Linked DNA regions of Arabidopsis thaliana. The protein of the gene in region 2 interacts with the protein of the main gene of each other region in a pairwise test. Each region holds a gene or a part of one and is shown on either strand. Other genes may lie near its edges. The genes, in order: PIP2A and RLK902.

What was found.
Region 1: the proteins of RLK902 (region 2) and PIP2A come close enough for resonance energy transfer, tested with the Arabidopsis thaliana proteins (one study listed by BioGRID).

Annotation. Positions count from the first base shown.
Region 1 is NC_003074.8:19,803,727-19,807,656, reverse strand, and holds the start of PIP2A (plasma membrane intrinsic protein 2A), read left to right. Parts: upstream 1-1,926; 5' UTR 1,927-2,202; coding exon 2,203-2,509; intron 2,510-2,977; coding exon 2,978-3,273; intron 3,274-3,400; coding exon 3,401-3,541; intron 3,542-3,631; coding exon 3,632-3,751; 3' UTR 3,752-3,930. UniProt on the Arabidopsis thaliana protein: Water channel required to facilitate the transport of water across cell membrane. Probably involved in root water uptake. Its function is impaired by Hg(2+).
Region 2 is NC_003074.8:6,103,784-6,107,713, reverse strand, and holds the start of RLK902 (receptor-like kinase 902), read right to left. Parts: upstream 1,807-3,930; 5' UTR 1,623-1,806; coding exon 272-1,622; intron 1-271. Other genes in the region: AT3G17830 (Molecular chaperone Hsp40/DnaJ family protein), read right to left, coding at 3,211-3,391, 3,489-3,570, 3,649-3,719, 3,804-3,930.

The DNA.
Region 1 (3,930 bases), about 14 Mb from region 2:
TTAAGACTAGTTTTCTATGAATAGAAGAAAGTGTAAAATATATAAATAAACATACTAATAACAATTAACAACAGAACCAGAACCAGAAAATTCACATTTCTGTGCTTTTATTATCTAAAATTCACTTCGAAAAACATGAGAAAAAAGAGTTGGCTGACGTGGAATATTCGTCTAATAGTAGCCGACCAACGTAGCCAAAACGATAAGGTTTGCCACATGGCAAAACGATAACCATGGAACTGCATCTCCTGTCTTTTGTTTGGTTGTCACAATTTGTCATTTTTATTGGGATTTATTGTTTTGTTATATTTTCGTTTTCAGTCTAATTGTCAGCAATTTTCGCAAAAGATATGAAATTTTGGATATGAAGAGAAAATGCAAATGATTGGTGGGGACAACAAACGTGGCATTATGTGAGTGGTTGAGCGAACAAACGGCTATATGCTGAGATGGATTGGACGGTGACGATACGTTTGTCGGAGGGATCGGGTCGGTTAGTCACGCGCGCCACCCATTCACGTGTCACCTTTTGCCAACACAGACCATATGATTTTAACCTCAGTGGAATCTCGACCCACCCCACAAAACGGCACCATAACTTTACACCCTGGTTTTAGAGAGTGATATACCAACACAACAATTATGAAAAAGGGTTCGTTTAGGCTTTGGTTACTTTATGTTAGTAATATCAACTTAAATGCTAATTTGAGTTATGTGTGATAAGATATACGACGAATCAATTTACTTATCGTCAATTAAGTTTGAAATGAAAGTTTGTGAACGAAATAGTTTATGCTTCTTTAATATTGTGTCATAATTTTGAGTTCCGGCTCTAACATCTTCAAGTAGGGTTTTGTTTTATGACACCTCAAACATACTTAATAACATATGTTGGTGATAGAAAACTAGACCTTCTAGACTACAAAAATGTTTATAATGTAAGAGAATGACCATATATCTATCTATTTTGAAAACAAAGTGTTTTGACTTTGGTGAACAAGAAAAATGTTCTCTATATATACAATGAGACACTCGAATATAACCATGCATGATTAGTTGGATTTGGAGTGAAGAAACTTAGCCATGCTTCGTTGGAGCAAAATAAGGTTTTGGAGTTTTGTTATGTGTTTTCAAGAATGTAAATGCTGATTCGATAAAAAAAAAAAGTGGACGTAAGTTATTTTAAAATGATTTGGCATACAAAAACTGTGGCTTTTTAAATCTGAAAAATCGACAGGCTATGATATTATACGACAAAAAGAAGAGAGCACCATATTGATGATATAGTATATTGGGTCGGTCCTAAAGAAAATGACATTTAGGTGATGGGGGCGGCGAGGCTAAGTTAAAGTAAACAAAAAAAACCTCCATTATTTACCAGAAAAACATATAAAAATTTGATTGACATAAAAACTAATAAATTATTTCAAAGTTGTGGTTCTGATAGCTCTCCACCATCACCACTGATTGATACTTCCTATTGCTACGAGAGATAAAACTATGCAAGTTTATATGAGTGGATATAAAGTCTTGTTTTATGATATCATAAGCTAGCTAATCCCATATCATTATCATGTATTTATAGACGCATGTTCAATAGATTTGGATCAATCTTTTTGTCATGGACTTGGTGCAAACTATAACGTTAAATAGAATAAACTATTCTAATTTAGGATCTAAAATAAACTCGAATCAAATTTTAAAGAAATTTACTGGCTAACTTATTTGAATTTTTCAAATTTCAACGATTGAAAAACTCTAAGTCTGAAATTAAACTAGGGTTCTTGTCTTTACGTATTAGTAACTATGTATGATATTGATATATCAAGCAATCATTAAATAGAATTGGTTCAAAATTTATTTCAGGACAGCTAGTTCATAATCATTTTGTCAAAGCTACTTCCCTCATAATAATAATAATCATAACTCACTCGTATACTTTTATATCCAATTTTTTCATTGAAAATACAAACTTTCATTCCAAAAAAAAACCTCAATACACAAAAAACCAAAAAAACATATAACGTTGGCAAAAATACTAAAAATATTTTTTAAAAGATAAAGCAATAAAAAAGTATACAAACAAATTAACAAGAAGGAGAGCTCTCACTATAAAACAGAGCACATGTTCTTCTCACTAACCACTCCAACAGAGAAGCAAAAGAAAAAAAAGCTATTGTTTGAAAGAAGAAGAAGTTAACTATGGCAAAGGATGTGGAAGCCGTTCCCGGAGAAGGATTTCAGACAAGAGACTATCAAGATCCGCCACCAGCTCCGTTTATTGATGGAGCGGAGCTAAAGAAGTGGTCTTTCTACAGAGCAGTTATCGCAGAGTTCGTAGCCACTCTCCTCTTCTTATACATCACCGTTTTGACAGTCATCGGTTACAAGATTCAGTCCGATACTGATGCCGGTGGCGTAGATTGCGGCGGAGTTGGAATCCTCGGTATCGCTTGGGCCTTTGGTGGTATGATCTTCATCCTCGTCTACTGCACCGCCGGTATCTCTGGTATGATCCTTCTTTAATCTTGATTTTGGTTTGGTTTAGATTAAGATTATACACTTTTTGAGTATTAGAATTACAATTAAACCGAATAAGCTGAATAAGTTTTACTTATGTAAGTACAACTTGCAAACTCAAAATTTAGACAAGTAAAAATTATATGGTATGGTTTTGGTTTGTTTATTCGAAATTAATTATTTTGCAAGGAAAAATATTGCTTGGTTGACATTACTATTTAATCGGTTTAAAATCTTAGGTTTAAAAGACGAAAATGATTTGTTTATAAAACATTTAATAAGGGTCATGATCAAATCGGTTCTTATCCGAATGATATATATCTAATCTAAGCCTAGTAATTATTTTAAGCAACTGACTAACCCTGTCTTAACCAGAATTGAAACCGGTTAATTAATTGCTTGTTGTACCTTAATTCTCAAGTACTGGTAACATTGTCAACTCTTTTTGTTTCCTTAGGTGGTCACATTAACCCAGCGGTGACATTTGGGCTATTCTTGGCACGTAAAGTGTCGTTACCTAGGGCCCTATTGTACATAATCGCTCAGTGTTTGGGTGCGATTTGTGGAGTTGGTTTTGTCAAAGCCTTCCAAAGCTCTTACTACACCCGTTACGGAGGTGGAGCCAACTCTCTAGCCGATGGCTACAGCACAGGGACCGGTCTAGCCGCAGAGATCATTGGTACTTTCGTTCTTGTCTACACCGTCTTCTCTGCCACTGACCCCAAACGTAGTGCCAGAGACTCCCACGTTCCGGTGAGTCACATATGTAGTGCTATTAATCTTCAATATGGTTAACCGACTCAAAACCGGAACCAAAGCAAACCAAACCAACATTTGATTTCAATCATACTAATAAATTTGAATTTTGATGAAATAAAAGGTGTTGGCGCCACTTCCAATCGGATTTGCCGTGTTCATGGTACATTTGGCTACCATTCCCATTACCGGAACCGGAATTAACCCGGCAAGGAGTTTCGGAGCTGCCGTAATCTACAACAAGAGCAAGCCATGGGATGACCACGTAAGACCTCAACGTTTCTCCATTACATTCAACTATATTTTTCATTTTTACAAGGGAATAATGTTTTGAAATTTTGGTGATTACAAACAGTGGATATTTTGGGTTGGACCATTCATTGGAGCTGCGATAGCTGCATTCTACCACCAATTCGTTCTGAGAGCTTCAGGTTCTAAGTCTCTTGGATCATTCAGAAGTGCTGCCAACGTCTAAACACATCAAACCAGATTTCTCAAGAATAAATGAAGTTGTGATCTCTCTGTACAAATCTAAATCAGTCACTTGCAGTTTTCATTTCCCTTTCTTATATTTGTGTTTTCCACTTGCTCTTTTGTGAATTTTCCTTCGGTGTAATTGTTTTTTCTTTCGCTTTTAAACGAGTGATTGGAATT
Region 2 (3,930 bases):
TCAAGGAATCCAAGGTTATCTACTGTCCCCACTAATTCATAGACGTCCTGTGTAAGCCATGTGAATGATAAAAACTCTTCACTGATCCTTGTCAATGTGATGCAGTACCAAACTAATCATTTCATGATAGAATCTTTGTCATTTCTTTCTTAACAGTAATGTATATTAACGAATCCATTACTAATTATGCCAAACTTAAGATTCAGCAGAGAACTATTAACAATAAAAATCAAATTTTTCGCTGAGAAAGAAAGAGAGGGGTAGTTCTCACCGTGTAAGAGAGCTGATAAGCTTCCCATAGGCATGAAGTCATAGACAAGCAGCTTCTCGTCTCCACTGTAATAGTACGCTCTCAAGGGCACCAAGTTCTCATGATCCATCGCCCCAACAACCTCAATCTTCTCCTTAAACTCTCTGTCCGCCATCGTTACATCCTTCAGTCTCTTCACAGCCACCAATGTCACCGCGTCAAGCACCGCTTTATAAGCTGTCCCGAACGTTCCTTTCCCCAGAACCTCCGCTGAAGCTCTCAACAGATCCTCAAGATCGAAGACCTTTGTCGCATTCCCAAAAAACACTAACTTCTTCATCCCTGAACTGTTCACTTCCACAGCTTTCACTGCAGACGGAGAGTACTCATTTACATAGCTCCTATTCTCCGGTGCTTCCACGGCCGCTTTCTCGCCAGGAATTTCAACTTCATGGTGCTTGATGGTTGCAAGGTCAATGGCCCTTGTTCTCTCGTTCCCCTTTTTCCTAAAGAGAACCATCAAAATCATAACAATCAGGGACAAACCAACCACACATCCAATCACTATTCCAGCTATAGCTCCACCAGAAAGCTTCTTCCTTTTCTTCTTCTCCTCACTTCCTTCAACAGTTCCGGGAATATTGCCAACAGAAATTGGCTGGCTTGGCACAGTTCCCTCATTAGAGCAGACAACAAGCGGTTTGCCGCAGAGAGAAGTTCCCACAAACGAATCAGAATCAAACTTCTGCAAACTCTTAGGTATAGATCCGTTCAACAAGTTATTAGAAACGTTGAACTGATCCAAAGACAAATCCAAGTCTAAAAGAGAGCCAGAGAGCTTGTTATTCTCCAGGTACAGAGTCTTAAGCCTAGTAAGGTTTTTAAACCCTGACGAGATCTCTCCACTAAATTCATTCTCAGCTAGATTCAACCTAACAAGGTTACTAAGACTAAACAAAACCTCCGGAATCTCACCGGAGAATCTGTTACCCTGCAGGTACAAACGCCGAAGATCGGAGCAGCTTCCGAGATCCAAAGGAAGAGAACCAGTAAGACCATTGAGACGGAGACTAAGCGTCCGGAGCTGAGTTAAATTACCAAAAATACCCTCCGGTATATGACCGGAGAGCGTTTCACCGGGAAGACGAAGAGCAGTAACACGACCACCGTCGCATAAGACGCCGGTCCAGTTGCATGGTGAGGTTTGCTTGACGTCCCAGAGTAATGTACGACCACCGACGGCGGAACGAAAAGAGAGAAGAGCGGATTTGTCGGCGGCGAGATCTCCGATTGACGGAAGAGGAAGAGAAAGGAGAAGAATCGAGAAGAATATGGAGAGATTGGACATTGACGGTGTGAAGAAGAGTCGCATTGTAAGAAACAAAGAGAGAAACCCTAGAAAAAAGCTCTCAGTGAAGAAGCTGTGTGTGTGGTTTACAGAGAAAGAGTGAAGCTAGTCAACACTCTTAACACTCTCTCTTTCTCTTTTTCTCCACTTTTTGTTTTTTTCGAGTTTTGAAATTTTTTCAAATTAAAATCTAAATGTGACAAAAACGACAATTTCTATACAACAGTGACGTATGTCTTTATATGCTTCGACAAAAATATTTGTATTTTTTTTTTTTTAATTTCTATTATTGGTTTTTATGTTTTAACTTATTGATATTATAGAATCTTATGTGAATCATTCGTACCACTAAGCTGTGTTGTCTTATCTAAATTCCAACTGCTAAAGATTATTAACTGGATTACAAAAACTTAGAGTTTAATAATCAATCGGATTAACAAGAAAATTAGCAAGTGGGTGTGTGTGTTTATGGAGAAATGGAATACAAAGGTTTTGATTATGAAATTCCCTGCATCTGAGTAAAGTGGAATCACTCTTCTCAAGATAACACTTAATTCTATGTATTTTTTTTTGTTTTGCTTCTTTAATAATAAAATTGATTTTTTCTTACTATAGTAGTATGATAATGCATGGTTGTAAAAGAAAAGAAAAAAATGAACATGGGTATGCAGAGAAAGGTAGGACCATAAACATGTAAAAAAGCCAACAACAATAATTTAACAGCATTCAAAGTAGGCTCTTTTATTTACAAGTAACGCATTCTCTGTTTTTTTATTGTCTCCACTCTCTGCATATCAACGGCATCAATCTAAAGGGTCCCATTAATCTTACTATCTTACCAATTTTTCTATCCATCGAATAAATTATTTCATGGTCCACAAAGGTAATATTATTGTGATTCATATTTTGGATAATTTACAATAAAAGATGAAAAAAGATTCACGACGGTTACATTGATATGTGGTTGGGCGTTACATTTTAGAAGAAAAGAGTAAAACTATATGAAGTGTAGTAATTTAATGGATCTATTTTCGATCGCACATGTGGATAAACAGTTTGGTAGTTGGAATATTGAGTTGTTTTTAAGCCATTTAACAAAAGGTATACTATTGAGTTGTGTTTTTAACTATCTAGCTGGCTTTACTATTGTTTTACTTTGGAAGATAAAGACGTTAGTCATCATAATGTAAATACTAAGTATAGTAGCTGTGTGTTGAGACCCACTAAGCAATAAAAGACTATACTAATAGATATGGGATTATGGGAAACCTTTTCTTGATTGCCTAAAAAGGTTCCTCTAATGAGAGAGGGACAAACAAAGTAAATAAGAGGACTGAATTGAGTTCAAAGCATAGTTCTGTCACGGTTTAAGCTGGTCTAGCATACATAAACATTTGTTCAAGTAATAACATTCCTTTCGTTGTATATCACAACTAGGCTCTTAACCATATATAAATGATAAAACATACATACAAGATCATATCTCTTCTGCGTGACAAACAATCTCTAGAAACTAGAATTGTATGACCGAGGGCCTTTTAAATCTTGTAAAAAGCTCTCTGTTACTTGAAATTAAACTTCTACCTGTGGGGTTTCAGGGTTTTTGACGAAATTAAGTTTCTTTCTTTTGTTTCAAGCGATTACCCTTCTTCTGTACCAATGCAACAGCCGAGGTTATAACGCACAGAGCCAAGACTGAAAAAGCAATTGAAGTCTCTGACACTTTCATTCTTCGTAATGGTAATGATGGGTTTAAGCTCATAGTCCCAAATTTCGTTCTTGAATCTTCTGGTCTATATAACACGTGACATTAAAAACTATGTATCAGACCAAGACAACAATGTTGTGTCTTTTGATGAACTACTGAGAAAAAGGTTTCTATGAGATTACCTTATGAAATTCTTCATTTTATGCCACAAAGATGGTTCTTTTCTGGGCTCTGAGCCAAAACTCTGCTCCTCTTGACGAGTTTCTACAAGTGGGGATTATAAGATTTTAACATTGTGTATTGAAAATTATGAGTTTCAATTAGATTGGGATAGCATTGTACCAGTAGGTCCAGTACTACTACTAGATCTTCTGAGCGACGAGAATTCCTCTACCAACTTGCGCTCCCTCTCGCTACCATATTCGATGTTTCAAGCAGTTTTTTAGTATAGAATAACGACATAAAGGGAAAAAAAAGGGAAGTGATGTGAGACAAACCTCAGTTTTTTGGGGATCGAAATTTTCACTACAAAGCAATGGTCTCCCCGGATTGAAGGTCTATCCGTGTCTGGAACTCCTTTCCTAGGTAATTTTACGGTGTCGCCAGGTTGAGTTCCTGGCGGAA